4 linked regions of the Cricetulus griseus genome follow. Each later gene encodes a partner of the first gene's protein in a complex. Links are inferred from orthologs where the notes say so. Each region holds a gene or a part of one and is shown in the gene's direction. Other genes may lie near its edges. The genes, in order: Shc1, Itgb3, Grb2 and Ntrk1.

What was found.
Region 2: the proteins of Shc1 (region 1) and Itgb3 are in contact, whole or in part, in an NMR structure (PDB 2L1C), measured with the Homo sapiens proteins. The link is inferred for Cricetulus griseus from reciprocal best matches to the Homo sapiens genes SHC1 and ITGB3. Residues at the interface, in NP_892113.4 of Homo sapiens: Ser175, Met176, Arg177, Asn182, Arg184, Thr185, Gln186, Thr188, Arg189, Glu190, Ser193, Leu194, Arg208, Arg209, Lys210, Arg214, Pro215, Leu216, Ser217, Ile219, Met257, Gln258, Ser259, Ile260, Ser261, Phe262, Ala263, Ser264, Gly265, Pro268; in NP_000203.2 of Homo sapiens: Trp765, Asp766, Thr767, Ala768, Pro771, Leu772, Tyr773, Lys774, Glu775, Ala776, Thr777, Ser778, Thr779, Phe780, Thr781, Asn782, Ile783, Thr784, Tyr785, Arg786, Gly787, Thr788.
Region 3: the proteins of Shc1 (region 1) and Grb2 are in contact, whole or in part, in an NMR structure (PDB 1QG1), measured with the Homo sapiens proteins. The link is inferred for Cricetulus griseus from reciprocal best matches to the Homo sapiens genes SHC1 and GRB2. Residues at the interface, in NP_892113.4 of Homo sapiens: Asp423, Asp424, Pro425, Ser426, Tyr427, Val428, Asn429, Val430; in NP_002077.1 of Homo sapiens: Arg67, Glu71, Arg86, Ser88, Ser90, Asp94, Ser96, Gln106, His107, Phe108, Lys109, Leu120, Trp121.
Region 4: the proteins of Shc1 (region 1) and Ntrk1 are in contact, whole or in part, in an NMR structure (PDB 1SHC), measured with the Homo sapiens proteins. The link is inferred for Cricetulus griseus from reciprocal best matches to the Homo sapiens genes SHC1 and NTRK1. Residues at the interface, in NP_892113.4 of Homo sapiens: Met176, Arg177, Ala178, Leu179, Ser259, Ile260, Ser261, Phe262, Ala263, Ser264, Gly265, Gly266, Lys279, Asn283, Arg285, Ile301, Ile304, Gly305, Phe308, Glu309, Phe312, Lys313, Gln314, Tyr315; in NP_002520.2 of Homo sapiens: His489, Ile490, Ile491, Glu492, Asn493, Pro494, Gln495, Tyr496, Phe497.

The regions. Positions count from the first base shown.
Region 1 is NW_023276806.1:65,123,603-65,131,432, reverse strand, and holds the start of Shc1 (SHC-transforming protein 1), read left to right. Parts: upstream 1-3,429; 5' UTR 3,430-3,838; coding exon 3,839-4,333; intron 4,334-4,880; coding exon 4,881-4,951; intron 4,952-5,415; coding exon 5,416-5,479; intron 5,480-5,593; coding exon 5,594-5,713; intron 5,714-6,191; coding exon 6,192-6,245; intron 6,246-6,534; coding exon 6,535-6,586; intron 6,587-6,757; coding exon 6,758-6,884; intron 6,885-7,830. Other genes in the region: uncharacterized protein LOC118237705, read right to left, coding at 324-736. UniProt on the Homo sapiens protein: Signaling adapter that couples activated growth factor receptors to signaling pathways. Participates in a signaling cascade initiated by activated KIT and KITLG/SCF.
Region 2 is NC_048600.1:117,667,741-117,674,824, forward strand, and holds part of Itgb3 (integrin beta-3), read left to right. Parts: intron 1-1,944; coding exon 1,945-2,040; intron 2,041-2,593; coding exon 2,594-2,683; intron 2,684-3,928; coding exon 3,929-4,063; intron 4,064-5,290; coding exon 5,291-5,720; intron 5,721-7,084. UniProt on the Homo sapiens protein: Integrin alpha-V/beta-3 (ITGAV:ITGB3) is a receptor for cytotactin, fibronectin, laminin, matrix metalloproteinase-2, osteopontin, osteomodulin, prothrombin, thrombospondin, vitronectin and von Willebrand factor.
Region 3 is NC_048600.1:128,243,073-128,250,156, reverse strand, and holds part of Grb2 (growth factor receptor-bound protein 2), read left to right. Parts: intron 1-3,812; coding exon 3,813-3,935; intron 3,936-7,084. UniProt on the Homo sapiens protein: Non-enzymatic adapter protein that plays a pivotal role in precisely regulated signaling cascades from cell surface receptors to cellular responses, including signaling transduction and gene expression.
Region 4 is NW_023276806.1:66,666,837-66,674,392, forward strand, and holds the start of Ntrk1 (high affinity nerve growth factor receptor), read left to right. Parts: upstream 1-3,232; coding exon 3,233-3,444; intron 3,445-6,181; coding exon 6,182-6,256; intron 6,257-6,485; coding exon 6,486-6,557; intron 6,558-7,556. Other genes in the region: Insrr (insulin receptor-related protein), read right to left, coding at 785-869. UniProt on the Homo sapiens protein: Receptor tyrosine kinase involved in the development and the maturation of the central and peripheral nervous systems through regulation of proliferation, differentiation and survival of sympathetic and nervous neurons.

The DNA.
Region 1 (7,830 bases):
TTTCTTCAGTAGACTTTGGAATTTCAGTAAAGCGAGCAGTTCTAATTAGGAAAATTAACCTGCACCAACAACGTTATGCGAGTGATGTGAAAATTCCCAACGGTAGAACCGATCAAAACTCCTAACACGCTTCTATTTAACAACCAGCCAACTCCAAATTCCCTTTCATTGTTTTACGGACTCCGTCTACCTTTCGCGCATGCGCCTTGGTAGTGCATCTCCCCCCCCCCCCGCCTTCAAAAAAAAATAACAAACCTCTTGCGCACGCGCCGGCTCTGCTCCCTGCCCCCCAGCCCCTGCCGCCCCCGGCCTCGGTCACTAACTCCTTGTGTGCTCCATTTGTCGAGGCGCACAACTCGGCTGTAGTCCCCGCGCCGGTACTAACCGGTACTCGAACTCCTCGTCGTCGTATTTGTCCGAATAGTAAATCTGTTTGTGCGACATGACTGCTCAGCCCGAGGGCCCTCAGCCCCGCGCCGCCGGCCTCCCGACGACTCCCAGCAGCACGCGCTCCCACCCTCTTTGGCCTCGCTTTCAAACACACCGCCCGCACCTCCGATTGGTCTCCCCGGCAGGGGGCGGGACAGCTCCATTTTGAAGCCCCCGATTGGCTCGCGTTGGTGTCTCCGCGAGTGGTAAATGGAGTGCCGTGCTCAGGTTTCTGAAGAATGAGCTGGATCAAAGCTAGGACTCTCATTGGCTCCCCCTGAGCCCGTGCGTCTGCTCGTGCAGCCATTGGCCGGCTTCGGAAAGCAGACGGGTAAAGGAGGGACGGCGAGGTAGGGGGTCAGGGGTTAGTGAGGCCGGAAGTGAGTGTAATAAAGTTTGTCTGGGGAGGCTGGGGCCGGGGCAGAAAGTTGGGGCGGTGACTTAAGCCGACAGTTACGTGATCCGGAACCAGATCGGCCCGCGGTCCGGTGCGGAGACTCCATGCGACCCTGGTGAGTGTAGACTTTCTCTCTGCGGCTGACCCAATCCTCCTCCACCCCGGAACCCTCTCCCTGGACCCCACTTCCGGTCGTGTTGTAGAAGTCCCGCCCCCGAGACCCTCTCCCCGGAAGTCCCACCTTCCAACTTCAAGGGGCTCCCCGAACCCCTAGTCTCTTAATGTGGCGACCACACCCTGTCGTCCCTTCCCTGGAATTCCTACCCCCAGATAGGCTTTCCTAGCTCTGGAAGATCAGTCGTTTCATCTCTCTGAAACCGCCTTCTCAGGACTCCCGACTAAACCTAGTTTCTCAAAAGCCTGGCTTCCAAAACGGGCCAAACCTTGCTTTTGAAAGAACGGTTCGGCTTTGTAGAAGCGACGCCTCTCTGGGGGCCCGCCCCTTCTGAGCCCCGCCCCTTCCACTGTCCACGTCTGGTCCCGGAATGTGGCGCATTCCTCGTAAGGGACCAGGTCCCCTCAGGAGACTTTTCCATGCCGAGCTTGGGTCTAGTGCCTCAAAGCCCCGATCTTAAGTTCCGGACGCTTCATCTGCTTTTATATCCCTCTCCTTTCTTTAAGCCTTGGGGTTAGTTTTCCTGAGCTGTCGTGCTCCATCGGGGGGGGGGGGTTGAAATTTGTGATTGTAAGGAGATTATTGGCAGCGTGGTTTCTTTCCCCTGTAACCTTCTCTGACTGTGAATTAAGTTGAAGCGGCTGGCTTTCGTTTTTCGGCCGTAGAATGGATGAGAGAGTGGCTTAGAGAGTGGCTTGATCCCACTCCTTCCTGGGTCAGCCCCTATTCCTGAGACAGCCATAGGTGGTACCTTCCTGTGGCTGGACTGCACTAAGTTTGGATTTGTGTGAACCTAACAGGAGTGAAAGTTTGTTGCCATCAGAAGAAAAACTTGTTTTGGAGTCAGGAGTAGGGGTTAGTGCCTTTCCCGTTGTTTTTAAAAGACCCCTCCCCCTAACCAGATAACTCCTGTTTGGCCTTCATCCTGACCCCACTTGCCCAACCTTCCCTGCTGGAAACATTCCTGAGGCTTTCGCCATTTCCTGCTATTTCCTACCCTTCCAGCTTCCTCCCTGCTGGGCTGAGGTACAAAACACGGCTCTCCCCCAGCTGCCACTACCTAGCTTTGGTCCGGTAGATAATCTCCCATCTCTTTAAGCAGATTTAAAGGCTCATGCTTCCTTTTCTTCCAAATGTGCATACTCTTGGTCATTCCTTGCCTCTGGATATGAACGCTCCTAGAGAAAGCCATCTCTCAAGATGAAGAATCATTGTGTGTGTTTGGAAGTGTATGGCTGTGGCAGAATTTTTCCTCCTCTAAGAGCTGAGGTCTTACTTAGTAGACGGGATGACAGAGTTTCTTTTCAGGAAGAAGTTCGATATTCAGTAACAGCTCTCCTGGGATGGGGACTAAGGGCAGGTGAAAAATCGGAAGAATGATATTTAACCCGTTTTAAGTTCCGGTATTGTTAATCACAATCATACAGTTTTTAATTCTCCAAACTAAACCTAAAGGTAGTTTGGAGGTGAGCCTGTAAAGAAACTACCTTTTACTTCTTGTATTTGCCTCTCCCCCCCCCCCTTTTTCTTTTTTTAAAGGAAATAAGTGATAGTTTATTCTGGAGTAATGCTGATTGGTCACTTTCTTTAACTTCCTGATGGCCTTTAGCAGAGCTGTGGCAGGAAGCTGTGGGCAAAGGAATATGGGCTTGGTGTTATTATGCACTTATGGCCAGATCCCAACCTCTGGTATCCCTTTCTTCTTCCTGTCTTTATTAACACTGATTTGTTTATGGCCCTATTATCCCTTTGTGGCTTGTAGGCACCAGTTCTGTTTGTTTCATTTTCAGACCTCCAAGGCCAACTCCTCTACTAGTGTGAGGGACACTGTTGGGTGGACCTTACAGCCTGTAAGGAGAGAAATATGTCTGTAGGTCTAAAGGTAGCCTGATTGTCTCTACATCCTCTGGAAAGGGGTCCAGGAAGTCCATTGGTCCTTGGTAGGTAACAAGCCTAAGGGACAGGCTTGCTCTAGCTCTTGCCTAGTAGCTCCCAGACCACCGCCCAAATTGGCCTTATTCCTCCTGTTTCAGCTTTGCTTCCCTCTTGGCCTCGATCTACACCCACTGGGACAACTTTCTCTTCCTGGTTCCTTGCTCTTGTCCACAGCTGTTGTGGCTGAGGATGCTAATGGCCCAGGTTCCCTGGGGCTGCCACCTCACTTACTGTATGGTGGGGGGTGGGGATGGTCTAGGCTGTAAGAGAAATACTAAACTCTAGATCACCCCCCCCCCTTTCCTCCCTCAGCAGCTTCTGTTTCCTCCTTTATCCCTCCTAACCTTCCGGGCTTCCTGCTCTCTTTGGCTAGCCCATGTCAGTTTGGATTAATCCAGAGTTCCTCTTAACTCCTTCCTTTCCTTCTTTCCTCTTTTTCTTATTCTTCCATCTTTCTCTCCTACCTGGCACCTTCATCCTCCCCAGACAGACCCTAGTTGTTTGTATTGGGTAAGGGAGAGTGGCCTGGCTAGCACACATTGTGTGAGGAGGTGTCTCTGCCCCTCTGAGCCTGTGAGTCAGCATTGTCCTTGGGATTGGTCTCTCCCCTTGGTTCCCCGCCCCTGGGGAGGAGCCAGTCAGCTCTGGGTCCAGCCTGTACTCCTCAGCCATAAGAGGCTTCCTCGCAGGGCTGGGCAAGGATGTGGCCTGAAACTGTCTTGGTCTGACGTGGGAGAGCAGAGGCCACTTGTCCTTCGCTTCCCTAGGTCCTCTGTTATCACCAGGCTGCAGAGGTCAGACCAGGCTAAGGGCCTGGGGATGCCCCCTGCCTGGCCCCCTTGCCTGAATTTGGCAGGGGGGCCAGGCCGGGCCAGGCAGCAGCCCCCCTTCTCACCCCAGCCATGGATCTTCTACCCCCCAAGCCGAAGTACAACCCACTTCGAAATGAGTCTCTGTCATCGCTGGAGGAGGGGGCTTCAGGGTCTACCCCCACAGAAGAGCTGCCTTCCCCGTCAGCCTCATCCCTGGGACCCATTCTGCCTCCTCTGCCGGGGGATGATAGTCCGACTACTCTGTGTTCCTTCTTTCCCCGGATGAGCAACCTGAAGCTGGCCAATCCTGCTGGGGGGCGCCTGGGGCCTAAGGGAGAGCCAGGAAAGGCTGCTGAAGATGGGGAAGGGAATGCAGGGGCAGCCCTTCGGGACTCAGGCCTCTTGCCCCTCCTCCAGGACATGAACAAGCTGAGTGGAGGCGGCGGGCGCAGGACTCGGGTAGAAGGGGGCCAGCTGGGGGGCGAGGAGTGGACCAGACACGGGAGCTTTGTCAATAAGCCCACACGAGGCTGGCTGCATCCCAACGACAAAGTCATGGGACCTGGGGTTTCCTACTTGGTTCGGGTGAGTGTACATCCTCCTTTCTGCCCCCTCCCATTCCCCATCCAGTTCCTCTGCTCACTCCAGATTTGCTGGGACTTCCTGCTCTTCCCCCAACATCTGTGGCATTCCCCTAGTTCTTAACCCTGCCTGCCACATCCCTTCTCCAGTTCTATGCCTTCTGTTCTAGCCTGGGAGTCTTCTGCCTAGGTCCCCTTTCCTTTGATCCCTACCCCCAGCTTACACAATGGTCAAGCACATCAGAGGCTTTTAGTAAGTGTTGAATGAAAAATGACTTCTGGGTTCTTCCCTCTAGACTCCTCCCTTTTCCATAGCTGTCACTCCATCCCACCCAGTGCCTACAACTCCTCTCACAATCTCTCCACAGTGCATGAAGGTCCTCTTTGGTGGCCCTTCTTCACTATGGGGTGGTGGCCCCAGGAAGTAGGAAGGCTACTTTACCTTTACTTCCCTTAGGGACTACATAGGGCACAGTCCTAGAACCTTCTGCAAAGGGTGGGGTATTGCGGGGAGGGGGCAGCTGATCCATCCTTGCCTCCTTCCCCCACAGTACATGGGTTGTGTGGAGGTCCTGCAGTCAATGCGAGCCCTTGACTTCAATACCCGGACTCAGGTCACCAGGTTAGTGGAGAGGCAGGTGTATTGTTGGAGTCTTGTATGGAGGAGGAGGAAAGGTGGGCATTTGGTGGTGGTGCTGATGGTGACTTCTCATGGGGTGGCTAAGAGACCTGAAAGTTACACCAGTGTGTCTGACTGCAAAGAGCCAGCTCTGGTCTGGAGCACCACCTTACCCACGCAGCCTGGGAGACTGTGGGACGATGGATTACAAAAGGCTGCTTTTGGGAAGGGAATGGCAAATTTGGTAACTGGGAAGAGGTGGGGCTATAACCATTGAGGCCCTAACCCAATCAGCCAGGAAGCAGCCCCTCAGTGTCATCAAATATTAAAGGCCCTTAATTCAATCCACCACGACAAAGAGCCTGGAGTGCTCTGAGAATCTGGCCTGCTCTTCCCCTCCCCCAGCTTTGTGGCAGCCCCAGGCAGTGGGAGGCCAGGAGTAGGTCTGAGTACCCCTGTTTCTCTAGGGAGGCCATCAGTTTGGTGTGTGAAGCCGTGCCTGGTGCCAAAGGAGCCACAAGGAGGAGAAAGGTATGTGTGGTTGTGGTGGGCAGGGGGAAGGCAACCGCAGGCACAAGGGGAGGAGACAGAAGTGTCTCCTGGTGTTGCCAGTGCTCAGGTTCTGAGACTTGGGGCCTTTCCTAGCCCTGTAGCCGCCCACTCAGCTCTATCCTGGGGAGGAGTAACCTGAAGTTTGCTGGAATGCCAATCACTCTCACTGTGTCTACCAGCAGCCTTAACCTCATGGCAGCCGACTGCAAACAGGTGGGTGGGGCTGCTGAAAGGGACGGGGGTAGTTATGGGATGATGGGGTGGGGGGATCTGGAGGCCAAAAACCTGGAGTCCTCAGGAGCAACTGGAGAGTAGAGAAGGAAGAAATTAGAGGGCTTGGGTATAGTGACAAATTTAATCCCAGTACTCCAGAGGCAGAGGCAGGTGTTTGAGTTCCAACTATACAGTGAGACCCTGCATCCCTGTTACACCCCCCCACTCCCCCCACCCCCGCCAAATAGAACAAAATTAGAAGAGTGTAGGATTAGAAGCCGAGAGAAAGACTGGGCGCCAAGGTCATAGCTGGGGTGAGGACACGCGGGATCTTGACCACTCCCTTCCTTCTCCATCCCCTGCCCACATGAGAGAATGAGAGTGGGTGCCAAGGTCATAGCTGGGGTGAGGGTACACGGGACCCTGAGGCTGCTGACCTTGATTGTTCCCTTCCTTCTCCATCCCCTGCCCGCATCAGATCATTGCCAACCATCACATGCAGTCCATCTCGTTCGCGTCTGGTGGGGATCCGGTGAGTTGGGGAACAGAAAGGATGGAGGTGGGGAATGAGAGACTAGGGGTTAAGAAGATACTGACTAACAACAACAACAAAAAGGTGGTATTGGCTAGAGGATGGGCGTGGTGGCATATGCCTTTAATTCCAGCACCTCTAACTTCCAGGACGGCCAGAGAAATCCTTTTTCAAAAAACTGTGGGGGAGAGAGAGGATTGTGGGAATAACTGAAAAGGACAGTCTTAGGGGTCAAATAAGATGGAGTTGTAGAATTTAGCTAACCGGTCTCTTCTGAATCTATCCATAGGACACAGCTGAGTATGTTGCCTATGTTGCCAAAGACCCCGTAAATCAGAGAGGTGAGGCTTTTGAGTGACACTGGGTAGGGCCAATTGTCTGAGAAGCAAGTGGGACCTCTCTCCCCTACTCTCACCAGTTATACTTGATGGGGCTATCCTGCTGAGGATTGGGGTTGGGTCCTCCCAACACCCTACCTCAGCGCTCACTGGCAGTTTCTACTGTGCCCCCAGCCTGCCATATCCTGGAGTGTCCTGAAGGGCTTGCTCAGGATGTCATCAGCACCATCGGTCAGGCCTTTGAGTTGCGCTTCAAACAGTATCTCAGGAATCCACCTAAGCTGGTCACCCCCCATGACAGGTGAGCTGGTATAAAGAGTGTGAGGCGGCTCTTGAGCCTCAGGCTGGGATTGGGAGTAGTTTTCTTTTCCCAAGTTTGAGTTCCCAGGGTTCAGAAAAGGTAGTGACCTATGTGACCCTGCCTCCTCCTTCCTACTGTGTTAGGTCTCCAGTGGCTCAGCAGGAAATCTGTGAGGGCCATGCCTGCTGCAGAGATAGTTTCTTCCTTTTTTTTTGCTTAGGGTGGGGTTATATTCCAGCACCTCCCACTAGCTTGCCTTTTCTAGCCTGATGGACTCTGGCTCAGGTTCCTCATTTTTAGCCTATCCCTCTGTGGTTTATTATTGTTATTGTTATTTATGGTTTTTTGAGACAGGGTTTGTCTGTGTAGCAGCCCTGGCTGTCCTGGAACAGGACCCTCCCCCCCTTGTTTTGGGGGGTTTTTTGTTTTGTTTTTTCGAAATGGGTTTCTCTGTATTGCTTTGGAAGTTGTCCTGGAACTTGCTCTGTAATCAGGCTGGTGTCAAACTCACAGAGATCCACCTGCCTCTGCCTCCTGAGTGCTGGGATTAAAGGTGTGAGCCACCAATGCCTGGCCCCCAAAGATTTTTTATTTTATGTGTATGTGTGTTTTACTGCATGTATGTAAGTGCATACAGTGCCTGTGGAAGCCAAAAGAGGTCACTGGATCCCCTGGAACTGGAATTAAAGGTGGTTGTGAGCTGCCATGTGAGTGCTGGGAACCAAACCTGGGTCCTCTGCACCATACTCCCCCATTCATTGTTCTGTGCTTTCCTGCCTCTGAACATTATTAAGAATTTAGATTTTAGCTAGGTGGTGGTGGCACATGGCTTTAATTCCAGCACTCAGGAGGCAGAGGCTGGTGGATCCCTGAGTTTGAGGCCAGTCTAGTCTACAGAATGAATTCCAAGACAGCCAGGGCTACTCAGAGAAACCCTGTCTCAAAA
Region 2 (7,084 bases), on another chromosome or scaffold:
TGGGTCCCTTCTTGGAATCAAGCTCATTTGTGGTTACTGGGGAAAGACAAGGGGGAGAAAAGGACAAAGGTAAAACCCAGAGAGCAGAGCCTCTTGAGGAAAGGTTAAAGGGCACAGAGTCATTCGGTTTGAAAGAAAGATGTTTGTGGATAATTTAGGATGATAGGTAAGAAAACTTATGAAAAGTTATTTCATGTGTTTTATTTAACCATAGACAGTTAACTAAATAAGAAGAAAGGAGCTTAAATTGAAATAGGAATTACTGTCAACCATGAGGCAAATGTAGCTAAGTTTAAAATAATAACACTTAGGGTATTTGGAGAAAGTCTTGACTTTTTTTTTTTACCTGTCTTGTCCCCCTACCCCCCTTCATTTTCTTGAGTCAGGGCTTTGCCATGCAGTCCAGGTTAACTTGTAATTCTTAGTCCTCTGCCATCACCTTCACATCAGTGGGGTTACAGTAATTTGACAATATACCTGATTTTAATTAATTGATTAAATGATAAAGGGCCTTGTTCTATATATAGCCCAGGCTGGTTTTCTCCTTGCAGTCCTCTGCCTCAACCTTCTGAGTATTGGGATTAGAAGCTTATACCACCATGCCTGTTTTTTTTTTTTTTTCCCTTAGTCTGGAAATTGAATTCAACGTCTCATAGTATATTAGATAATTGCTCATCCACCAGGCCATCCCCAGCCTACTGTTTATTTTTAAATAAGAAACAAAACCTTATTTATTATTAAAACATACTCCTTATTTTCTCTAGTCAATAGAGGAACCATTTTGTGGCTTAAAAGTGATTCAAGGGAGGAGACTGAGCTAGAGAACTCATGAGCTCCCTTGCAAGGTCTATGAGCCCATGGACATATTGGTTCATACTGTTTCCTGGTCTCTTCAAGTCCTTGGTATTAGCCATATACAAGCTGAGCACTATCGGACTCTGATACTAGTCTATACAAGGCACTGATCAGGAGCTGCGAGAGATGAAAAAGCTATAAGGACCTACTCCTACAAGTTTTTTTGTTTAGATGAAGAGAGAGGATATATTCCAGCACATTTATCAATAGCAGCGAATGCATGCTGAATGCTAAGTGTGTTATACAGTCAAGGGCTATTGGCAGCCGGAAGAGGAAAGCTCCTTAGGAGCTGGGGTGGTCAAGGAAGGCCTCTTGGAGGAGGTGAGCTTTGGCTAAGGAAGGAGGAGGATTGCCAAGATGAAGGTCACTCGCAGGAGGAGTGAGCTAGAGCAGTGCCTGGTAGAAGAGGAGTAGGGGTGAGTGATGGTTGTTGGTCACGTGTTGGTTGATCAGTAGAGCGAGGCTAGGACATTTGCCCACAGCTCTGCAACGGTGGGCCTTAACTCATGGAGCTGGTTTGAATCTGAGTGGGAAGGAAGGTGCTTGGCTTTGGAACACCACCAGCTTAGGGTTCTTTGCTAAGCTTGCACTGCATTGCCCTTCTCACTCATATAGCAACTTTCATTTCATATCCACTTTCTGTTGCTAACAGTAAGCCAGAAAAGAACTTCAGTTTTGTTCTTAGAACTTGCGAGTTTGAGAGACCACATCTGGTGGTCATCTTGCTGGCTGAGTCCCAAGACTCAGGCCGGCATGAAGCAGAGGTCAGGGAGTGTGTGTATGGGTTTCTGTTTTCATTGTTCTCCTCTCATGACACTAGTGGGATTCAACTCTGGGGGCTTTGCTGTAATGACCTCTAACCATACTTCCCGAATACTCTACTCCCCAGTACTGTTGGGGGGCGGGGCTTGTCTTCATCCCCCCCCCACCCAAGCATCTCACAGTGTGAATTCAATTTCATCACATGAAACCCAAGGGACACACTGGAGCCATGTCCAAACCACAACACCTCACTTTGATTAGTGCATAAATGTTTTAAGTTTCACATTTCCTTGGCGATATCCCCATGAACCTTTCCCTCTTTTCCAGGATTACCCGTCTCTGGGGCTGATGACTGAGAAACTATCCCAGAATAACATTAACCTGATCTTCGCAGTCACTGCAGACGTGGCCAACCTCTACCAGGTAACTATGCCTCTGGGGCTTCCGTCCTGTTGCCACAGATGGACCTGTCCCAGGTGGCCATGGACCCAACCAGGAAAAAAATCCTTTTAAAACTCATTCTCTGGGTACTTAACATAACTCCCTATAGCCTTTTTCCTTCAGCCTCTAACCTGCTAGGAAGAGGGTGTAGATGTTTGAGATGATGGTGAGGAGATAAATCAGTTGGGGGAGGGGAGTAAAAAGGTTTCTTACTTTTCCCTCAGATATGAAAATCTGATAGATCTGTTCTGGTAGTGACAAGTGAGGCATCCCACAGTGTCCTCACAACTTCACTTTAAGACTGTCAGTCTGGCAGTGGTGGCACACGCCTTTAATTAAAGCACTTGAGAGGCAGAGGCAGGCAGATCTCTGAGTTTGAGGCCAGCCTGGCCTACAGAGTGAATTCCAGGACGGCCAGGGCTACACAGAGAAGCCCTGTCTTGATGCCCCCCACCCCCCAAAAGACTGACTAGGGGGACTTTGAGGAGACCACTTTCCTTGAGCAAGCTGTGGACATCTTTGTCTTCCTTTCTAGAATTATAGTGAGCTCATTCCGGGGACCACAGTGGGAATCCTGTCTGTTGACTCAAGCAATGTCCTCCAGCTCATTGTTGATGCTTATGGGGTAAGAATATTGGCCTGGGAGGGCTGGTCGAGTCTGCTGGATGTGGCTCATTGAGCAGAGGGTGTTAAAAAGAAGTAAAAGTGGGATGCAGTGGTCCCTCTACAATGGGAGCCTGACATGTAAATTCCCCCCAGGATTGAAATTTCTTAAAATGAATGGGCCTCAAGGCCATGCTTGGGCCTGGAGGTGGAAGGGAGGCATTAGATGGAAACAATATAATAGGGAGGTCTAAACATAATAGGGCCTTAAAGGGGACAAGAGGTGTCCCTTTAAAGCCTGAAGAGGAGCTTTATTAAGAGTGAGAGCGAAGCTGGGCAGTGGTGGAGCACTCCTTTAGTCCCAGCACTCGGGAGGCAGAGGCAGGGGGATCTCTGTGAGTTTGAGACCAGCCTGGTCTACAAGAGCTAGTTCCAGGACAGCCTCCAAAGCCACAGAAAAACCCTGTCTCGAAAAACCAAACAAACAAACAAACAAACAAACACAGAAGAGTGAGATCGAGAGAGGTCAGGAGGAGAGTGGGTAGGGGGAGCCAAAGAGAGACAATGTTCATGAGCGTGAAGGCAAAGAGACCCTCTTCAAAAGCAGCCTTTCTCTCTAGACCAATTCCTAGAACAAAGGAAAGGTCTGGCTTTTTATGTTTTTAGGAGTGGCAGGAAGTTTCATATCATGTGATTTAGTTGAACACAGCACATAGAGAAGCCAAGTATTCTACAATGACAACTGTCAAGTCACGGTACAAACTGCTTTGGAACTCTGTCCCAAAGCGAGCTGGAGTGCGTGGCCTGGTTTGCCTGTGGGATCATGCCTAAAGATGCAGGCCCATGTTATGACAGAGCTCAGCATTGGGAGCCCTAGGCTGCCATTCTCCCATGTGGCCTTCCTGCTTTCCTCTTGTGCTCCTAGAGGATGGCCAGCCCTGGGAGAGATGACATCTTCTGGAAAGGAGGTGGGAGAGAAAGGAAGGCTAGGGCAGAACGGACGGTGAGTGGGGCGCTTAGAGGTGGAGGGGACTGTAGATGCGGGCCAGATTGACAAGGAGCATCTGTAGGGCAGAATGAGGGAGAGCCAGGTCCTAGCCACACACAAAAGAGGCAACTGAGTACAGAGACATTCTGGCAGCAACGGGCAGATAACCCTCAGCATCCGGCACTACCAAAGCACGTCCCAGGCCTCTGGGTTGGCTTTGCGTGGGATGCTTTTGGCCTTTGTCTGTGTCTTTACTTTCTTTTGTCCCTTTCTGCTCAGAAAATCCGCTCCAAAGTGGAGCTGGAAGTGCGTGACCTCCCTGAAGAGCTGTCACTATCCTTCAATGCCACTTGCCTCAACAATGAGGTCATCCCAGGCCTCAAGTCTTGTGTGGGACTCAAGATTGGAGACACGGTAAGGTGGGCAGTGGGCGAGGCAGGGACTGATACTGAAGCTGTGACGTGGACCCCAGAGTCTGTGTGTACTCCAACCCTTTTCAGATTAGAAGTTCAAGAGCTCTTAACCTTTCCTCTTGAAGCTTCTGCTGCCTAAAGTTTCTGTATCCACTGAGTTAACATCTCCATCAGTTTTTGAGATATTCACACCTGTATATCTGATTGCAAATGAAATGATCTCTTATCTACTCACCCAGAGTAGTGCCTTTCTTTTCTCTGTGACATAAAATGGCAGTATATCATCTGTAGACTTTAGCTGAGCACTGACTGTGCGCCAGGCTTTATTCTGGGTGATGAAAATCCAGCAGCAAGTGGACAGGAAAAAATACCTGGACCCCTTGAGACTCACTTAAGAGTGCAGATGCTCATATTGCCCCTGCATTCCCTCCATGGTTTTCTTGATGGCTATTGTTTTGCATTTTATGCATATGGTTATTTTGCCTATGTGCATATTTATGTATCATGTGGGTGCCTGGTACCTGTGAAGGCCAGAAGATGGTATCTGATTCCTTGGAACTAGAGTTACAGAGGGTTGTGATCTGCCATGTGGATTTGAACCCAGGTCCTCTGGAAGAGCAGCCAGCATTCTTCACTGCTGAGTTATCTCTCTAGCTGCCCGGGTTTTCTTTGTGTGCTGGTCCTCCTCTGCTCTACCTAAGAGACTGGTGGATGGCAGGGAGGAATGACAAGAAGTCAATCTTTTGGTCCATTGCCCTGTAAGCTTATTTTCCAAGCATGTATGTCCACAGCCCCACACTTCACACGCTGCAATGATGCCTTATACAGTATCCTTCAGTTTGGGACTGATTAACCACTCTTTGGCATGGTGTGGCACAAAGCAGAATCTTGTTGTCTTGCTGTTAATATGCAACATTGATCCTCCAGCTGGCTTAGTTGGCTAGTGTAGTGCTCACAAAAATCACTGATTCTGTCCTGCTTCAGCTGGTTTCTCTCTCGGGAATAGAACAGCCTTCTATTGCTTGTCTGTAACCATCTGTCCAGTCAGATGTGTCACAGTGGTAACTTCTATGCCACTGTCGTTGTTACTCTGTAGACTTTGATAGTATTAAGGTCACGGAACCCCCTGGGATGGTTGAATTCAGACACCTAGTTTTGTTTTCCTTGGTAGGGTGCATCGTAGCATTTCTCAGATCCACTTAGGTCTGAATGTCATCTTTCCATCCAGGTGAGCTTTAGCATCGAGGCCAAGGTACGCGGCTGCCCCAAGGAGAAAGAGCAGTCTTTCACTATCAAGCCTGTGGGCTTTAAGGATAGCCTTACTGTCCAGGTCTCCTTTGACTGTGACTGTGCCTGCCAGGCCTCTGCCCAGCCTCTCAGCCCACGCTGCAACAACGGCAATGGGACCTTTGAGTGTGGAGTGTGCCGCTGTGACCAGGGCTGGCTGGGAGCCATGTGTGAGTGCTCTGAGGAGGACTACCGACCCTCCCAGCAGGAAGAGTGCGTCTCCAAGGAGGGCCAACCCATTTGCAGCCAGAGAGGCGAGTGCCTCTGCGGCCAGTGTGTCTGTCACAGTAGTGACTTTGGCAAGATCACTGGCAAGTTCTGTGAGTGCGATGACTTCTCCTGTGTCCGCTACAAAGGGGAGATGTGCTCTGGTGAGTAGAAGCCTGCACCCGCGTGCTCGGTAGCCATGCATGCATACACACCTCAGTAGAAGTGTACACCCGTGTGCTCGGTAGCCGTGCATGTATACACACCCCGGTGCCTTGGGAAACACTCGGAAGGCTTGAGGCTGGCAAGGTGGGCAGAACTGAGAATCCATTTCACTCAGAGTGGAAACCCAGACATAAGCAGAGGAGGGAGGGAACCGGATCTTTTAGCTTGTTCGTGGGGCATAGGAAGCTAAGCTGGAGGTAGGCAGGAGTGGAGAAACGTCAAGGAGAGGTAGCTTGTTTTGCTTTTTGTTCTTCTCACTCTGATATTTCAGGTTCCTAATCCTTTTGAATATAAGGACTGACTTAGTTTTCAACTAAAGAAACCAGTCTCTTGGTAATTAAACTGTTAGTGTTTACAGACAGAAAATATATGATATCGGAATATACTGTAAAGTTCATAATCATTTTACATGACTTTATCGTTCTATCACCAGTAGACAGTAGTGATATATATGCAGGACGTTGGGGGCACCAGAACAGTGTTTGGGAAGTGGTGTACCTGTGTTAAATGTTATCCTTGTTTTGGCATCTGTTTTTTACTGCGTGTATTCATGTGCTGTCCAGAATGGTATCCACTAGCCATGTGTAGCTATTAACTAAGTGAGATAGAAACAGAAATTCAGTTTTCAGTTGGTCAGTAGCCTCATGTGGCTAGTGGCTATCATATTGGACCATGCAGATATTGAACATGTTGACATTGCAGGAAGTTCCACTGGATAATGTTGCCATAGTGACTTCCTACCAGCAGATTAAAATTGTGTGTGTGTGTGTGTGTGTGTGTGTGTGTGTGTGTGTGCGTGCTCCCACACGAGGCATGCATGTGTGTATATAGGTATAGTGACCAGAGATAGACTTTTTTTTTTTTTTGATTTTTAGAGACAAGGTTTCTCTGTATTGTTTTGGAGGCTGTCCTGGAACTTGCTCTGTAGACCAGGCTGGTCTCGAACTCACAGAGATTGGCCTGCCTCTGCCTACCGAGTGCTGGGATTAAAGGTATGCGCCACCAACGCCCATCCCAGAGCTAGATTTATGTGTCTTTTTCAATCACTTTCCATGTTATGCTTTGAGATTAGATCTCTCATTGACCCTGGGGCTGACCAGTTGGCTAGGCTGGCTGTCTGAACTCCAGGGATCCAACTGTTTTTGTTTCCTAATTTTGGGATTACACACATGTGCCACTGAGTTTAGCTTTTTTTTTTTAAAGCATGGTGCTGGAGATCTGAACTCAGGTCCTCATGTTGGCAATGCAAGCTGTCTCTCCATCCTGGGAACTGTAATTTTGAGCCTGAAGGATCCGAGTTGTT
Region 3 (7,084 bases), on another chromosome or scaffold:
TGGTTTTTGGAGGTTTGGGCTTTTTTTGTTTGGTTGGTTGGTTTGGTTTGGTTTTTTGGAGACTGGGTTTCTCTGTGTAGTCCTGGCTGTCCTGGAACTCACTCTGTAGATCAGGCTGACCTCCATCTTACAGAGACCCTCCTGTCTCTGCACCCTGAATGCTGAGATGAAAGGTATGCTCCATCACTGTCCTGCCTACCTTGCTTTTTTGTACAGAGTGGTTCATTAAAATTTTTTTGCTGCTATTTAGGCTTAAAGCCTTAATGAAGAAATCTAAATGCTAAACCTTCAAATAAATGGCATATGCACATTAGATTCCTGGACCTCTGTCCGTGGCTGAGAATGCCTCTTGCCTGAGATCCTGTAACCTAAGATTGGGGCCCAGTGTGCAGTACAGCTGGCCCAGGTTACTGAAAGGCAGGCTTGAGTGGGGTAAACTGAAGTTCTGAAACTTCAACATGAACTTCTTACATCTGATTCCTGTGGTGTTAGTAAGCCTGCTTTGTAGACCCAGAGACTGGTATTAGGGTTCAAGCCTCAAGCTGAAGACTAGAGAAGCAAAGCAGCCAAGCCAGTAGATTTTACCTCTACCAAGCTGAAATGGCAATCCTGTCTCCATGAATCCTCAATCTGTAGCTAACCAGGGTGGCTGCTTTGGTATTTTGATCTCCAGTGGCTTTAATAAATCATAAACAATATATCACCACAGGGTTTCTCTGTGTAGCCCTGACTGCCCTGGAACTCTCTCTGTAGAGAGATCCTCTTGCCTTTGCCTCCCGAGAGTTTGTATTGAAGGAGTGTGGCCGGCCGTTGGTGGCGCCCCCGCCTTTAATCCCAGCACCTGGGAGGCAAGAGGCTGTCGGATCTCTGTGAGTTCGAGGCCAGCCTGGTCTACCAATCGAGTTCCAGGACAGGCTCCAAAACAGTACAGAGAAACCCTGTCTCAAAAAAAAAAAAAAAAAGTAAATTGTGTGTTTCTTTTATATGTCTGTGTTTGAGTGTATGTATGTGAGCCCACAGACATCAAAAAGAGGCATTGATCCTCTGGAACTGGGGTTATAGGTGGTTGTGAGCCACTAATGTGGGTGCTGGGAACTGAACCCAGGTCCTCTAAAAGAACATTAGATGTTCTTAAACAGTTAGCCACCTCTACACACACAACTCTTTTTTTTTTTTTCCTTCCCACCCTCCCCCTCTTTTCTTTTATCCTGGGAATTGAATAGTAGGCAAACATTCATCACTGGACAATGCCAAGCTCCCCTAAAGTTTGTGCTTTCGTGGCCCATTAAGGCCGGGCTCACTTTATATGCACAAGGCCCTGGAATCCACCCCTAGTGCCTTAAAAATATTAATTTTAAAAATAAAAACTGCAAAGGCACATGGTTTCATGGTAGAGCATTGCCTCAAACTCACGAGGTGTTGATTCCCAGCACTAGAGTAGAGAGGAGAAGGATGGGTGTGGTGGTGTGTACTTGTATTTCCCAACATTCCAGAGACTAAAGTAGGCAGATCACAAATGCAGGGCTGCCCAGGGGCTGACAAACCTGACAACAGCGCAAATTCAATCCCAGATCCCAGGGCAGAAGTGACTCTCAGAAGCTGCCCCCTGACCTCCACGGGTGCACCATGGGGTTATAGGTGGCGAGTACCCGAGCACTCACACTCACACACTAACTGAAATTAAAGAAAGGGAAGGCCAGCCTGGGCTTGCATAGCAAGATAGCCTGAGAGCTGTGGATTCCTGACAGCTGTGCTGGATCAGAACCAGCGCCTCCTGGGTGCAAATTGCCGTGGTCTGCGCCCTCCAGATGGTCTGGTAACACAGGCATTTTTCAATCAGGTTGTTAAAGATAGAGCCACCCTCCTGTGGAAGGAAAGTCTGTAGGTACTGCCACTGACAGGAGAGCCACTCTCATGAGAGTTTGCGTGGTGGTATGCCTGCTTACCATCTCTTGGGGTTGGGGGAAGAAGTGGAAGAAGGAAAGGGCCAGAGGCGCAACCCTTAACCTGCAGGGGGGGCCTGGGATCAAACCCTTGGTCCTTTAAATAACTTTAAATAACTTCCTACCCACCTACATCAGCATGGTCTGCTGGGCGCCTTGCACTGGCGGGAGGGAGGAAAGTCCCAGCCCCTCCCCCTCCGCCTGAGCTCTGCAGAAGGAACTAAACATTCAAAAGTCTCTCTCCAAGTCTCTGATAGTGCTGGGGGCTGCTGGTCCCCAGCGCCTGCCTCTGTGACTTACAGGCCGCCAAGTAGCCCAGTGTACCTGGTGCTTAGTGTGACACCACAGTGTGGTGTGCCAGAGGCCAGCCCTGCTCCCCTTTGTTTGTAGAGGTAGTACATACAATAGAGTGCCAGCCACCTGTGAAGGCCGACAGATCCACACACTCTTCATAGTAAGTACATGTGGGCGGAGCCTATGGCGTGCTATAAATAATACCCTGGAAAATACATCCCCCACCCCCCCTTGGCTTTCCTGCTTGCTATTTCTAGGGTAGTACAGACCAGTCTTTTTAAAGACTAGCAGAACGTTTGTCTGTAGGCATGCCGTTATACATAAATATCACCATTAAAAGGACCCGTCAGGCTCGGTCTAGCTCAGTGCTAGAGGGGACCAGCCCCGCACGCACAAGGCCCTGACTTCTGCCTCCAGCACTGCAAACAGGAATACTTTTAGAGAAGCTTATTGGGTTTATAAAAGCCTGTGAAAGTAGAGTCTCTGACTGAATGCTGAGTGCTGTTCCTCCTGCTGTATGGGGTCTCCCGACCCCGTGTGCTGGAACCAGGTGCAGATAGACAAGAAATTTTTGGTTCATAAAATGGTTCTCAAACTAATGTTTCCTTCTGTTTTAGTTTTTGAGACAGGTTTTTGGAATGAGACCCAGACCAGCCTTGAAGTTACACTATTCCTCCTTCCTCTTCCTCCCCATGGCTAGGATTACAGCTGTGCATCACACACTCAGCCTTTTTATTCTTGACACATCTATTTTGTAAAGTTCCAATTAGGAGACAGGCAGTAGCGGTGTGGCCACTTCTAATCCCAGCACTCGGATTAAAGGCCTGCACCACCGCTGCCCAGCTCTGTGTGTAGTAACTTCTGATGTTCCTGATCCTGTGGTTTGGTTTTTGTTTGTTTGGGCTTTTATGTGAGGCTGATACTCAATGCAAGTATCCTGTCACTGAGCAGTGTGTCCTCCACCCCCATGCTCTGTCTCCCTTCAGGGCTTTTCCCAGGGGCTGGGAAAGCTGCACCCTGAGCCTGTCCTGAGGCTGGAGAGGAGTGCTGGCACCCATACCCTGTCTACTTTCTCACCAACTAAGCCTCCCTTTGTGCTTCAGCAGAAGCAGCCCTGCCTCCAGCTTCTAGTCCTTCCAAGTCCCCTCCTGCACTCAGGCTTGACAAGACTCTGTGCGGTCCCGAGTCCAGTCCATCCTCCCCCCCACCCCACGTGGCAGGTGCGGCAGGGCTTTCCTGAGTGCCCTTCTGATGAATTTGGGGCAGGGTTGTCTTTGGCTTCAGAAACCTGACTTCAGGTGGCACATTGGGGATCGTCTCGTCTGAAGAGTGGCCTGCACCGGTGCCTTCCTTGAGTCTTGATCTAGAGAGTGGAGTGGGTGGAGCTGCTTCAAAGCTCAGCTCATCTCTCTGGAAGGCACTGAGCCAGAGCAGGCCTGGTGAGCCTTAGGCAGGAGACCAGCTTGTGAAGAGTAGCTTCCACCAGCAAAGAGATCTCGTATTTACGTGTGAGGCTGGACAGCCCAGTTTCTTTGTGGGGAAGCAGATGTTGACTGGATTGCCTTCCTTCCTTAGGTGGTTTTTTGGCAAAATCCCCAGAGCCAAGGCAGAAGAAATGCTTAGCAAACAGAGGCATGATGGGGCCTTCCTAATCCGAGAGAGCGAGAGTGCCCCTGGGGACTTCTCCCTGTCTGTCAAGTAAGTATTTCCTGCTGGAGTGTCCACAGAAACCTGCTGCCATTGACTGAAATGTAAGGCTGTGGGAAGATGTTAACAAATCTTTCCATGGAAATCCTAGTGTTTTTCATGAACCTTCAGGAACTGATGTCACTCATAGCCGGTTTCCTACTCCCTACCAGCCCTGGTCCCTGTCCCTGTCCCTGGTCCCTGGGTCCCTGGTCCTGCCTTCAGTATAGTTGCTGCCACTCAGGCAGAATAAATAACACATGTCATCTCAGCTCCTGTTGCTCACCTGGACCAGATGCTATCTGAGGCTTTTCATGTCTCTTGAAAATGTTTCTGTGAGTAGGTGGGATTCCCTGTCAAAAATCTAGATAGGACTTAGACATGCAAGGTGTCACGTGCCTTTATCTCACACTTGGGAGGCAAAGACAGGTAGATCTCGGTGGGTTCCAGGCCAGACTGAGTTATATAGTGAGATCCTGATTTTCCATGATGTCTGACTGGTCATCTTTTTTGGGGGGGGGGTCATCCTTTTCTAGCTAACATGTTACTGCAAAAGCCCCACCCCCAGAGTCTTTTCAGTCATTTCTTTCCAACACAGACTCTTACCTCAGGCTATCCTGGAAGTTGCTATATAGCAGAGGCTGTCCTCAAATTAATTGACGGTGCTCTGCCTGTCTCGGCTGAGCTCCTGAGTGCTGTGATGACAGGCGTGAGTAGGTACATCCCCTCATTCTTTATCCATAAAGGGCTGGGGGAACCTGGTGCCTCTAACCCCATCCCCGGGGACATGAGAGGACAGACTGCTGCCCTGAGGGATCTGAGGTTTAAACCCAAATTGTCAGGTTTGTGCACAAGCGCCTCTGCTCACTGGGCCACCCCACCAGTCCTGCCGTTGTCTTTTAAACGCACTGACCAAGGTCTTGCTCCATTGCCCACGCTGGGAACTGGGTGTAGCAGGTGTGGGTTTCAGGGTTCTGTTAACTAGCATCATGGCGAATGAATGAATGAATGAATGAATGAATGAATGAATGAATGAATTGCCTGACTGGCCTTGAACTTTCCATCTTCCTGCCTTCACTTTTGTGTAGTAGGAATATCAGGCCTCCAATCTAGGCACCAGAACAAAGTTATGCTTTTTGTCTAAATGGCCTCAAACTCAGGGATTCACCTGCCTCTGCCTCCCGAGTGCTGGAATTAAAGGCGTGGACTGCCACAGCTGGCTTGCAGTATTTTTTTTTTTTTTTTCAAACTCAGTGTAAGAATAGTTTCCTCTTGCAACCAGGACTTTTGAAGGTCTTTTTGTTTGTTTGGTTTGGTTTTTCCAGACAGGGTTTCTCTGTGTAACAGCCCTGGCTGTCCTGGAAGTCATGTGATCTGTGAGCCAGGCAGGCTGGCCTTGAACTCAAAGAGATCCACCCGCCTCTGCCTCCTGAGCGCTGGGACTGAAGGCGAGCGCCACCTGGCTTGAAGCTCCTGGCCAGACACATGTGCGGATGGCTCTGACAGCATGTGGAGCTGGGCTTGTAGAATTACCATTTTATGCTTCAGCAGCTTGTGTGTCATCTGCTTTTTTGGCCTCTGCTGCCCCTAGTAGCAGTAAAACAGCTTAGGAAGGAGAAAGAAGTAACCAACCAGTGGGTAGCAACAGACCCTGCTCTGTGCGTTTCCTGAAGATGCCCTTAAGGCCAAGCTGTTCCCTTCCATCAAAGGAAGTCTTGTAAGGGATGGAGACCTAGCCCAGTGTGTGTGAGGTCTACGAGAGCTAGTTCCAGGACAAGCCTCCAAAGCCACAAACTCTCCCCCCCCCCAATAAATAAATAAATAAATAAAACTTTAAAAATTAAACTTTAAAAAAAGTTAATGTGCTATCACTTTAGGAATAAAATAAGGGGGAGGATAGAGTACCTACCTCACAAACATGAGGGCCCGAGTTAGGACCCATCGTGTAAAAGCTGGGGTAAAAGAGAGACAGGTATCCCTGGAGCCAGGAGGCCAGCTAGCCTGGCCTAATCAGTGAGCTGCTGGTTCTGAGAGAATATGGCAGAGACTTCCATCATTGACTTCGGTTTCCACACACATGCTGGCACACGTGCACACGGAGAGGTGGGCAGAGAGAGAGAGTATGAAATACTGCCTTTAACACAGGCATCTTCACAGAACCAAGGGCTTCACACGGCCTCAATCTCGGAGATGGTGCACTGGTTTCGAGATGTCAGAGTCTGGTTAAAAGGCCGTGGTAGAAGTGACCCTGGCAGTCAGTGACCTGCACTCTCCGGAAGCCAGGTGCAAACCCAGAAGGGCCCTCGACAAGGCCTTCGGATGTGCAGTCCTCTGCTTTCGCCAGCGCATTGGCTTCCAAGTGAAAATGTGATAATGAAGTTGTCTGACTGCTTTGGTCTTGCTTTCCTCCATTTCAGTTACCAAGATCAAGTGGAAACTGCAGAAATAACTCCTGGATTTTAAATAACTTAAATGATTTCATATTGCTGCAATGTGTGTCCATAGGGGAAACAGTGTATCTGGTTTCAGATTTGCCCTGAGTGTTAGTTAGGAAGCGCTAGTGTCCTGCCCCCCCTAGCTTGAAGCTCGGTGCTGCCTCCTGCTGGATTGTCTTCAGAATGCCTTCACCTTTTTTAAGCCCTAAACTGGAGAGACTCCTGGAAAAGATTTGAAGGCTTGGCAGTGATCAGGAAGCAAGGTCCTGGCTGAGTGACTGTCATGCCCAGGTGTCACTAGGGCAGACCCTGTGATCCGGCCAGCATCAGTAATCACACTTGTTAGCCTTGTTGTCAACTGATAAGAGTGTTTGTTTCTTCATATTTGGTTCTCGTTACCCTGAAAAAGAAACAGTATGGCAGTAACTCAATGGAAAGCATGGCTTTGGTGGCACACATGTCATCCCAGCCCTGGGGAGGCTGAGTCAGGAGATCACCATGAGTTTTAGACCTGCTTAGCCAGTTAGTGAGCTCAAAGCCAACCTGAGCGAGGGTTTGGATGTCACATGGCTTTTTTACCTGTAAAGCAGATAAGCTTGGACCTTCATTACTGGGCTGTGTGAGTAGATCATCAGGTGTCTGCAGAGTGAGACTAGTGGGTGGACTGCCCTCGTGAAGACTGTTCCTGGGGCCAGCAGTCAGGAGAGGTCTAGGGGAGGCTCCCGG
Region 4 (7,556 bases), about 1.5 Mb from region 1:
GTTCGGCTGCTTCCATTTCCCATGAAGCCCCTGGAAATCCTCTGAGGGCAGTTTGGTCTGCATAGTCCCCCTCACACTTCCTGATGCCCTTGGTGGGAAATGTGTATCAGGGGAACATCACTGAGTCACACAGGAGAGGCAGCCCTTCTGCTCATAGTGGGTAAATCCCTAGGGTGGGGGGCATGGACTAAAATGCCTGGGGTGCTAGAGCTCAGGACCTGCTCCAGGGCTGCCTCTCCAGTCTCTGAACTGCCTATCGACATAATGTATCAAGTTGCTTAATAATGCCTGGTGTTCAGCTGTTGGTCCCAGCCTACCCCTTATCATTCAGTGGCCCTAGAAAAGACCTCTAATTCTCTCAGTCTCGTTTTGGTTCAAATTTAGACTTTACTAGGATCATGGTTTCACAAACAGCAATGGCTTGTAGAACATCTGTTCATTCCGTTTCTAACTCCTTAACTCTTAGCGAGCTGAGAGGGGGGAAAAACTTTTCATATAACAGTTCTTCTTTTTTTTTTTTCCTGGTGAAAAGTCCTTTTGAGGGCTAATCCTCGTCTTCTAGTTCCAATAAATACTAAGTAGAAGTCAGAGGGGGTGGCGCACGCCTTTAGTCCCAGCAGAGGCAGGTGGATCTTTAAAGGCCAGCCTGGTCTACAGAGTGAGTTTTAGGATGGCCAAGGCTACACAGAGATAACTCTGTCTCGGAAAAAAACCCAAAACAAAGACTAAGTAGAAGTGTTCCGGAAGGGAGGTGGGGGTTGGAAAGACGTTGCTGAGGACTCACCCTCTAGTGTGTCCAGACCAGATCCCAAGGACAGCAGGCTCATAAGCAAGTGTACTCTCCAGTGCCACAGAGCAGGCACTGCCATCATCTCAGCCCCGAGTGTCCTCCAGGTGTCCTCCAGGGAGAAAGGGTCTCATGAGTTGCAGACCCAGGTTCCGGGGTTGGGGGTGGGGCACAGGGGCAAAGGGATTAGAAATCCCAAGTAGAGACAGCGAGAGACAGAGGAAACAAAGCCTGTGCCAGAGACGGAGGCTGCAACAGAGGGAGATGGAACAGGAGCAGGAGAGCCTCAGAGAGGCCTCCAGAGGGAGAAATTGACCCAGGATTCAGAACTCGAAGGTCCAGGGGCCAGACGGTCCCAATAGGAGACGGAGCGAAAGCCCCAGGAGCGCCCGGGGGATGGCGGCGGGGGTCCAGAGGCTCGCAGGACCCCACCCCGAGTCTCCGCGGACCTCCCGGGCATACACAGACTTGCAACCTCTGCCGGCCGGCCGCAGCTTCTGGGGCTGCAACGCAGGGACCTCACCCAACTCCCGCCCTTTCCAGAAACCGATTGGTTTGTGCCGACTTATCTGTTCTCTGCGCCCCTCCCACAAAGTCAAGTAAAAATATTTAGCCTGACAACTGAGGGAGGTGGGGGACAGATGTGTTGGGGGAAATAAGGCCAAAATACCGAAGGGGTTGGGGGCCAAGAACTGAGCTCCCAACTGAATCTTGGCGGCGTCTCTCTCCCACCTCTGGCACCGCCTCTGCTCGCTGCAGACCTGGAGGCGGCGAGCCAGCGACTGGGCGCCCTGGTCTGAGGAGCGGAGGTTCTGGAGTCCAACAGGTGTTTTGACACCCTAGAGGGTAACTTCTCGCAGGCTGGACAGGTCGCATAGTCCGCTTGTGGAACCTGAAGATCTCAGACCTTCGCCTCTAGCAGCCCCCGCACCCCCCAGCCTCCTGAGGCCACTTTGACCATAACCCCTTGCCGCGGGGCGCGTCCCTGCCAAGTCCCTTTGTGAGATTCCTCCTTCGTTTGGTTACTTTTAAGAACTCGGGATGTTTGGTGTGTCTCTGTATGCTCTGTGTATACTCTGTGTACTCGTTTGAAGACACTCGAGGGACTATTCATGCTGGGACCTGGAGCAGAAAGCTAACTGCCACTAAGACTATCTATCCTTCACTGGTTAGCTGGGTCCTACATACTTCGGTCACTCCCAGAGCCCACCTGTCTGTCCCCTCTTAAGCGTGAGACTTGCATACACCCCTTTAACCCCAGCGCTCGGGAGGCGGAGGCTGGCGGATCTCTGTGAGTTCGAGGCCAGCCTGGTCTACAAGAGCTAGTTCCAGGATAGGCTGCAAAGCTGCTGAGAAACCCTGTCTCGAAAAACCAAAACCAAACCAAACAAAAACAAAAACCACCACCACCAACAACAAAACAAAAAAGTGTGAGACTTAATAGACTTGCAGCCAGGAAGGCCAATGCGCGACACCTGCCCTTTGATGGCCTGAATGCTGGATCCTGGGACTTCCCAGGTTCACAAATACCAAGGGTCGATGGTTCCCAGCTCTACCCGCGGGCAACTCCCACGTCCGAAGAGCTAAGAGATCTATTAATTTCTCCGCTCAGAAATCGATGCACTTGTCAGGACGGCGATCGATGCCAGCCCTGCTCTGTTTGGCCCTACCCGGCCTTGTGCCCCAACTGGCTGGCTGCGATTGGGGACTGACCTTAAGACAGAAGGCACAGGCTGGCAGGGCTGCGAACCGCGCGCGCTTCCCGGCCCTCGAAGACCCAGGCCCGGCGCAAACGCCGCGGCGCAAGGGCTTCTAGCGCCACCCTGTGGTCTCTTGCGGACTGAGCGGTCTCCACTTTCCACTCTCCCTCCAGCTGTGTTGAGAGAACACTTCTCTGCCCCTTCTGTTTTCCTCCGCAGGTTCTGCGTCCGGTCTTTCTGGGGCCATCTCCCTTTTCTTACTAGCGTCTGGAGAGTGTTCATCAAACTTATTCCAAGTGACATGCACACTCTTTTAGGCATGTGCACCGCGAGGCTGTTTGGGATGACCTGGACTTCAACCTTCTCCTTGCTCAATCTCTCCCTGTCCCTGCAAATCTGAAAATGCAGCTGTTTTACTGGGAGAAATAACGTATCGGCTTCCTAGCCCGCTCCAGTCTCAGAAGACGCCTGTGAGGCGTCCTGTAGCAATCCTCCGCCCCAGGTCTACTGCAGCCGCCAGGGACATTAGGGAGGCTAGCTGGCATTAGGGCCCCAAAGGGGAGGAGGGGGCGCTGGGGGCACCGGCCGGCGGGGCGGGGCGGGGCGGGACGTGGCCGCGGGTGCCGCCCTCTCCTGGTGGCTGGTCTTTAACACCGCCCCGCGCACGTGTCGCGCGAGGCCGGGCGGTGGCAGCTAAGAGCGCTCGGACGGACGGCGCAGCCCAAGCTTGGCGGGCGCCGCCGCGATGCTGCGAGGCCAGCGGCGCGGGCAGCTGGGCTGGCATTGCCGAGCCGCGGGGCTAGGAGGCCTGCTGGCTTCGCTGATGCTGGCCTCTGCCTGCGCCGCATCCTGTCCTGAGGCTTGCTGCCCCGTGGGCCCCTCGGGGCTTCGCTGCACCAGGGCAGGGGCCCTGAATACCCTCCACGGCCTGCGGGGCGCCGGGAACCTGACGGAGCTGTGAGTGTGTGGCGGGGGAGGCACGCGGGGTCAGGAGGGCACAGCCTTTCCCCGAGGGCGCGCACTCACCGCTGGCTTGAGGGGCCAGGCTTGGCTGCTGTAGGAGGCTGGCACGTGTAACCTTTGGCTGTGCTGCAGCGGCTTTGCTGTTGCTGCCACCACCCTGGCAAAGCCGCGCAGTCACTGTCTGGACGTCGCCCAGGATTAAGGGTAGCTGGCTGAGGTGCTGGCTTGGGGCAGAGCAAAAGGGGACCAGGTCTTGGTCCATCGATATAGGAGCCTCTTTGTGGGGTTCATTCAAGAGCCCAAATTCTGCCCCTCGGTGTGGGGGTTAGCTGTGGAGAATTCGGCACTGTGCACCTTTGCCATCTTCTCTATCTTAGAGGGAAGCCAGTCCCCAACCTCTCCCTTGTCTTGGCCAGGGACCCTAGGTCTTCCCTGGGTTTGTGATTGAGCTGGAGTTGATGAGGAACCAGCTTGTTGTATGAGCTTTTCTTCTTTCCATTGACTTCTTGATTTGGATGTGGGAAATGAAAGCCCTTTGCTTCTCTCCCGTCTCCCCTTTCACCAATGTCTCCCTACTTGTATCAGGGAGTCAGGGCTGTTGCTGAGGGATTCTCACTTCTTCCAGGTCCAGAGCTGGGCGGAACCTTAAGCTCTGCAGTACTTTGACATTCTGCAATAATTGGTTACAAAATATGCAAGTACTTCTTAGCAGCTGGTGAAACCTATGAGAGTATAATTGACCTGAAGGGACTCAGCATCCCAGGGTGATGGCTGGAAAATACTTGAGTATTCTGCATGCTGGTAGAACCAGCAGCTGGCCGTGATTGGCACCGAGTTACTCGGGCATCTTGTAGTAATTAACGGAGATACTCAATCTCTTTCTAATGGCCCTAGGGAGACCAAAAAGAGAGGGGATGGCCTTGTCTTGGTCTGGCCTAGGCTCCTGCATGATGGGAGGGGGCATGAGGTCTAGATTGTTGCTCCCAGGCCTGCCCATTCAAACCAGAGTCCCGGCTCCTGACTGTGCCTCTCAGCGTTCTCATTCCCCAGTGCCTTAACAGGCTCCAAGGGAGTCCAGCCCAGGGACAGAGGCAGTGGGCAAGCTAGGGCTGTAGAAGAGGAGGTTGGCAGAGCGGTGAGCTGAGATGTCCCCCTGGGTGGGGCCAATCCTCCCACCTCGTCCTGCACAATCCTCTCCCTCCTCCCTCACCCGCATAGCTAACAAGGAGCTAATGGACTCGAATAGACAGATTGATTATGAATCTGAACAAATGAGGCGGCTTGGAGTACACTGCCTGACAGCCCTACTTACCCAGCTCTTCACATCTTATCAACTCCCTGGGTCTCTGAAGCTTGAAACCCTTGGGGCAGAACAGGGATCTGGCCTCCCCCAAAGTGGCCGTCTGCATCTCCTTAGGCTTCTAGGCTGAGGATAGGCACGTACTGTCCCATTGAAGTCAAGGCTGGAAGCAGGGCTGGGGTTGGGGGGGGGGCTGGACTGAGCCTGTTCCCTCGCTGTTCTTTTACTAAGGGAAAATCTAAAAGAGAGGGGAAGAGTTCTGAGAACTGCTAGTGAGTCAGGGGCCCCTGCCACATACGGGAGTTGGGAGAGGAGAGGAAACATGGACGTGCCACTGCAGAGGACATGTCACTACAGGGAAGTAACTTCACAGGAACTCCGGGACGCCAGATCCACAAGATAGGACTGCAACCACAACCACAGCCACCTCACCCCGAGTGCCGTCTTTCTCTTTTTGCATCCCTGGTTCTCAGTCCTTATCTCTGTGGCCCCCTGTTCTTATCTGTATGTCCCTTCCCACCACCACTACTCAGTCTCTTCTGAGTTTTTTACTCTGTTTTTCTGCCCACCTTCTGCTACCTCATTCAGCCTTCCTGTGTTTCACACTGTATCTCCATCTCTCCTCAGCCACACACTCAGACTCCATCTGCTCCATGCTCCTCTCTCCCTTCCTGTGTCCTTCATGGACTGAGGAGGGACTAAGGGGTCCTTAACAGCTCTATGCTTTTTGCTTGTTTTGGAAAAGTACTGGAGAGGGGAGAGTAGGGATGCTGTAGGGAAGAACGAAAGGTTTTGAGGGGACAGAGGGTGGTGTGTGTGTGTGTGTGTGTGTGTGTGTGTGTGTGTGTGTGTGTGTTTGGGGTCAGTGAACCCAGATAGCAGTCTCAGAGCTGTGTTTGGGGCACACATTAGCATGACCATTGGGGCATCTTTAGCACTGGGTGGAGCAGCAGCACTGAGAGCCTTGCCCTTTGTGGAAGTGAGCCCCAGCACGACCCGCTTATTGTTGAGCATATATATGCTGAAGGGGCCTGCTATCAAAGTGGAGCCCCAAGCTGAGAATGGCAGTGTGCACTGGCTAACATATCTTCACACCTTCTCATCTGTGTATGCGTGAGAGACGTCTATGTGAGCTTTGTTCATGTGTGTCCTTGGGTGAGAGTATGAGGATATCCCCGTGTGTTTCTGTGCAGTTGCCTATGTGTTGCAGGAGGCATGTGAGAGTCTGTATTTTGTAAAGGTGAGGGTGCATGCATGCCTGTATGCACATGTGTGACTTGTGAGTCGTGCCAGCATGTGGGGGCATGCGCATGAATGAGTAGGTGACATGGGTCTGTGTGTGAAAGGTGCCTGTGAGGGAGGTGGGTGGCTGGTGGGAATGGGGTAATTCCACTGAGGCCCTGACCCTGTTCACCACCCCTCTCCCTGCAGCTACGTGGAGAACCAGCAGCACCTACAACGCCTGGAGTCCAGGGACTTGCAGGGCCTGGGGGAGTTGAGAAGCCTGTGAGGACTAAGGGTAGACCGGGTGGGACTGGGCACAGGGTGGTGGGTGGCCACATATATTGGGCTCTCAGAAGACCTGGGAGTCTGGGAGAAGTGTGGAGGCTCAGGGGTTTGAGGGGTCCAGATAACTGTGGAGCCTAAGGGGTAGAGAGGGGTGCACAGCTCCACAGGGGTGTCTGGCCTGGGTGAGCAGAGGGCAGAGTTTAAATTCCTCTCACCCCTTCCCTAGAACCATTGTGAAGAGTGGCCTTCGCTTTGTGGCTCCCGATGCTTTTCATTTCACTCCTCGGCTCAGTCACCTGTGAGTGCCCAGGTTGGACCCGTGGGGTGGGGCTGAGAGGGACCTCCGGACTTGGATGCTGATAGGCTTTGTGCTGCCCAGGGAACTGTCCAGCCTGGGCTCCTTTCCATATGACATTTCTTAGTCAGACTAGAATCCCTGTTGCCTCACTTCCTTGACTCAGAGATGTTTCTCAAAAGCAGCCAGCCAGGCTCTCTGCCTGGAGCTCATAGGGACTGAGGGGCAGGAGTAAGACCCCTGGGTTCTGGTCAGAATTTCATCTCCTCTCCTGTGGTGTGTGCTGACCTGCCCCCAGGCCAACCTGGGAGGTGGTGTGTTCTGTCTGCTACTCTTCACCCTCCTCATCCCTGCGTTATAACTACTTGTCCTGTAGAGGACAGGGAGGGCCATGGAGTAGGTAGAAGATACAGTTAGAGTCTCTAGCAGCACCTCCCTGGGTCAGGAGCCCGTCATTCACAGGGTTGGGTTGGGTCCTCTAACCCCTCAGATGGGTCTGGAGAACTGAACACAGGTGTTGTGTTACCTACTATATGTACTGGCTTAAAAATGTACACTTGGGCTTGGGGATATGGCTCAGTTGGTAGAGGATTTGCCTGCTGTTCACAAAGCCCTGGGTTTGATCCCCAACTCCATAAACCAGGTGTGGTGATACATGCCTATAATCCTAACACTGGGGAGGTAGAGACAGGAGGATCAGAAGTTCCAGGTCATATATGGCTACCTATATAAGTTTCAGGCCAGCCTTTTGTCTCAACAAAACAAAAGAACAATAACAAAAACCTTAAAAAAAATTAAAATGTGTATTTGGTGGCAGTCCATGACTCCCATGGCAGTAACTGCTTGCAACCAACCTGGGGACAGAGATGATATGATCCCCATTTTATAGGTAAAGATTCTGGGAATTGAGTTGTTTCTTGACTGAGGTCACCTGGCTATACATGACAGAACAGGTTCTACTCCCACCTCTAATCTGTGTCCAAGGTGGTGGTGTTCCGGGGC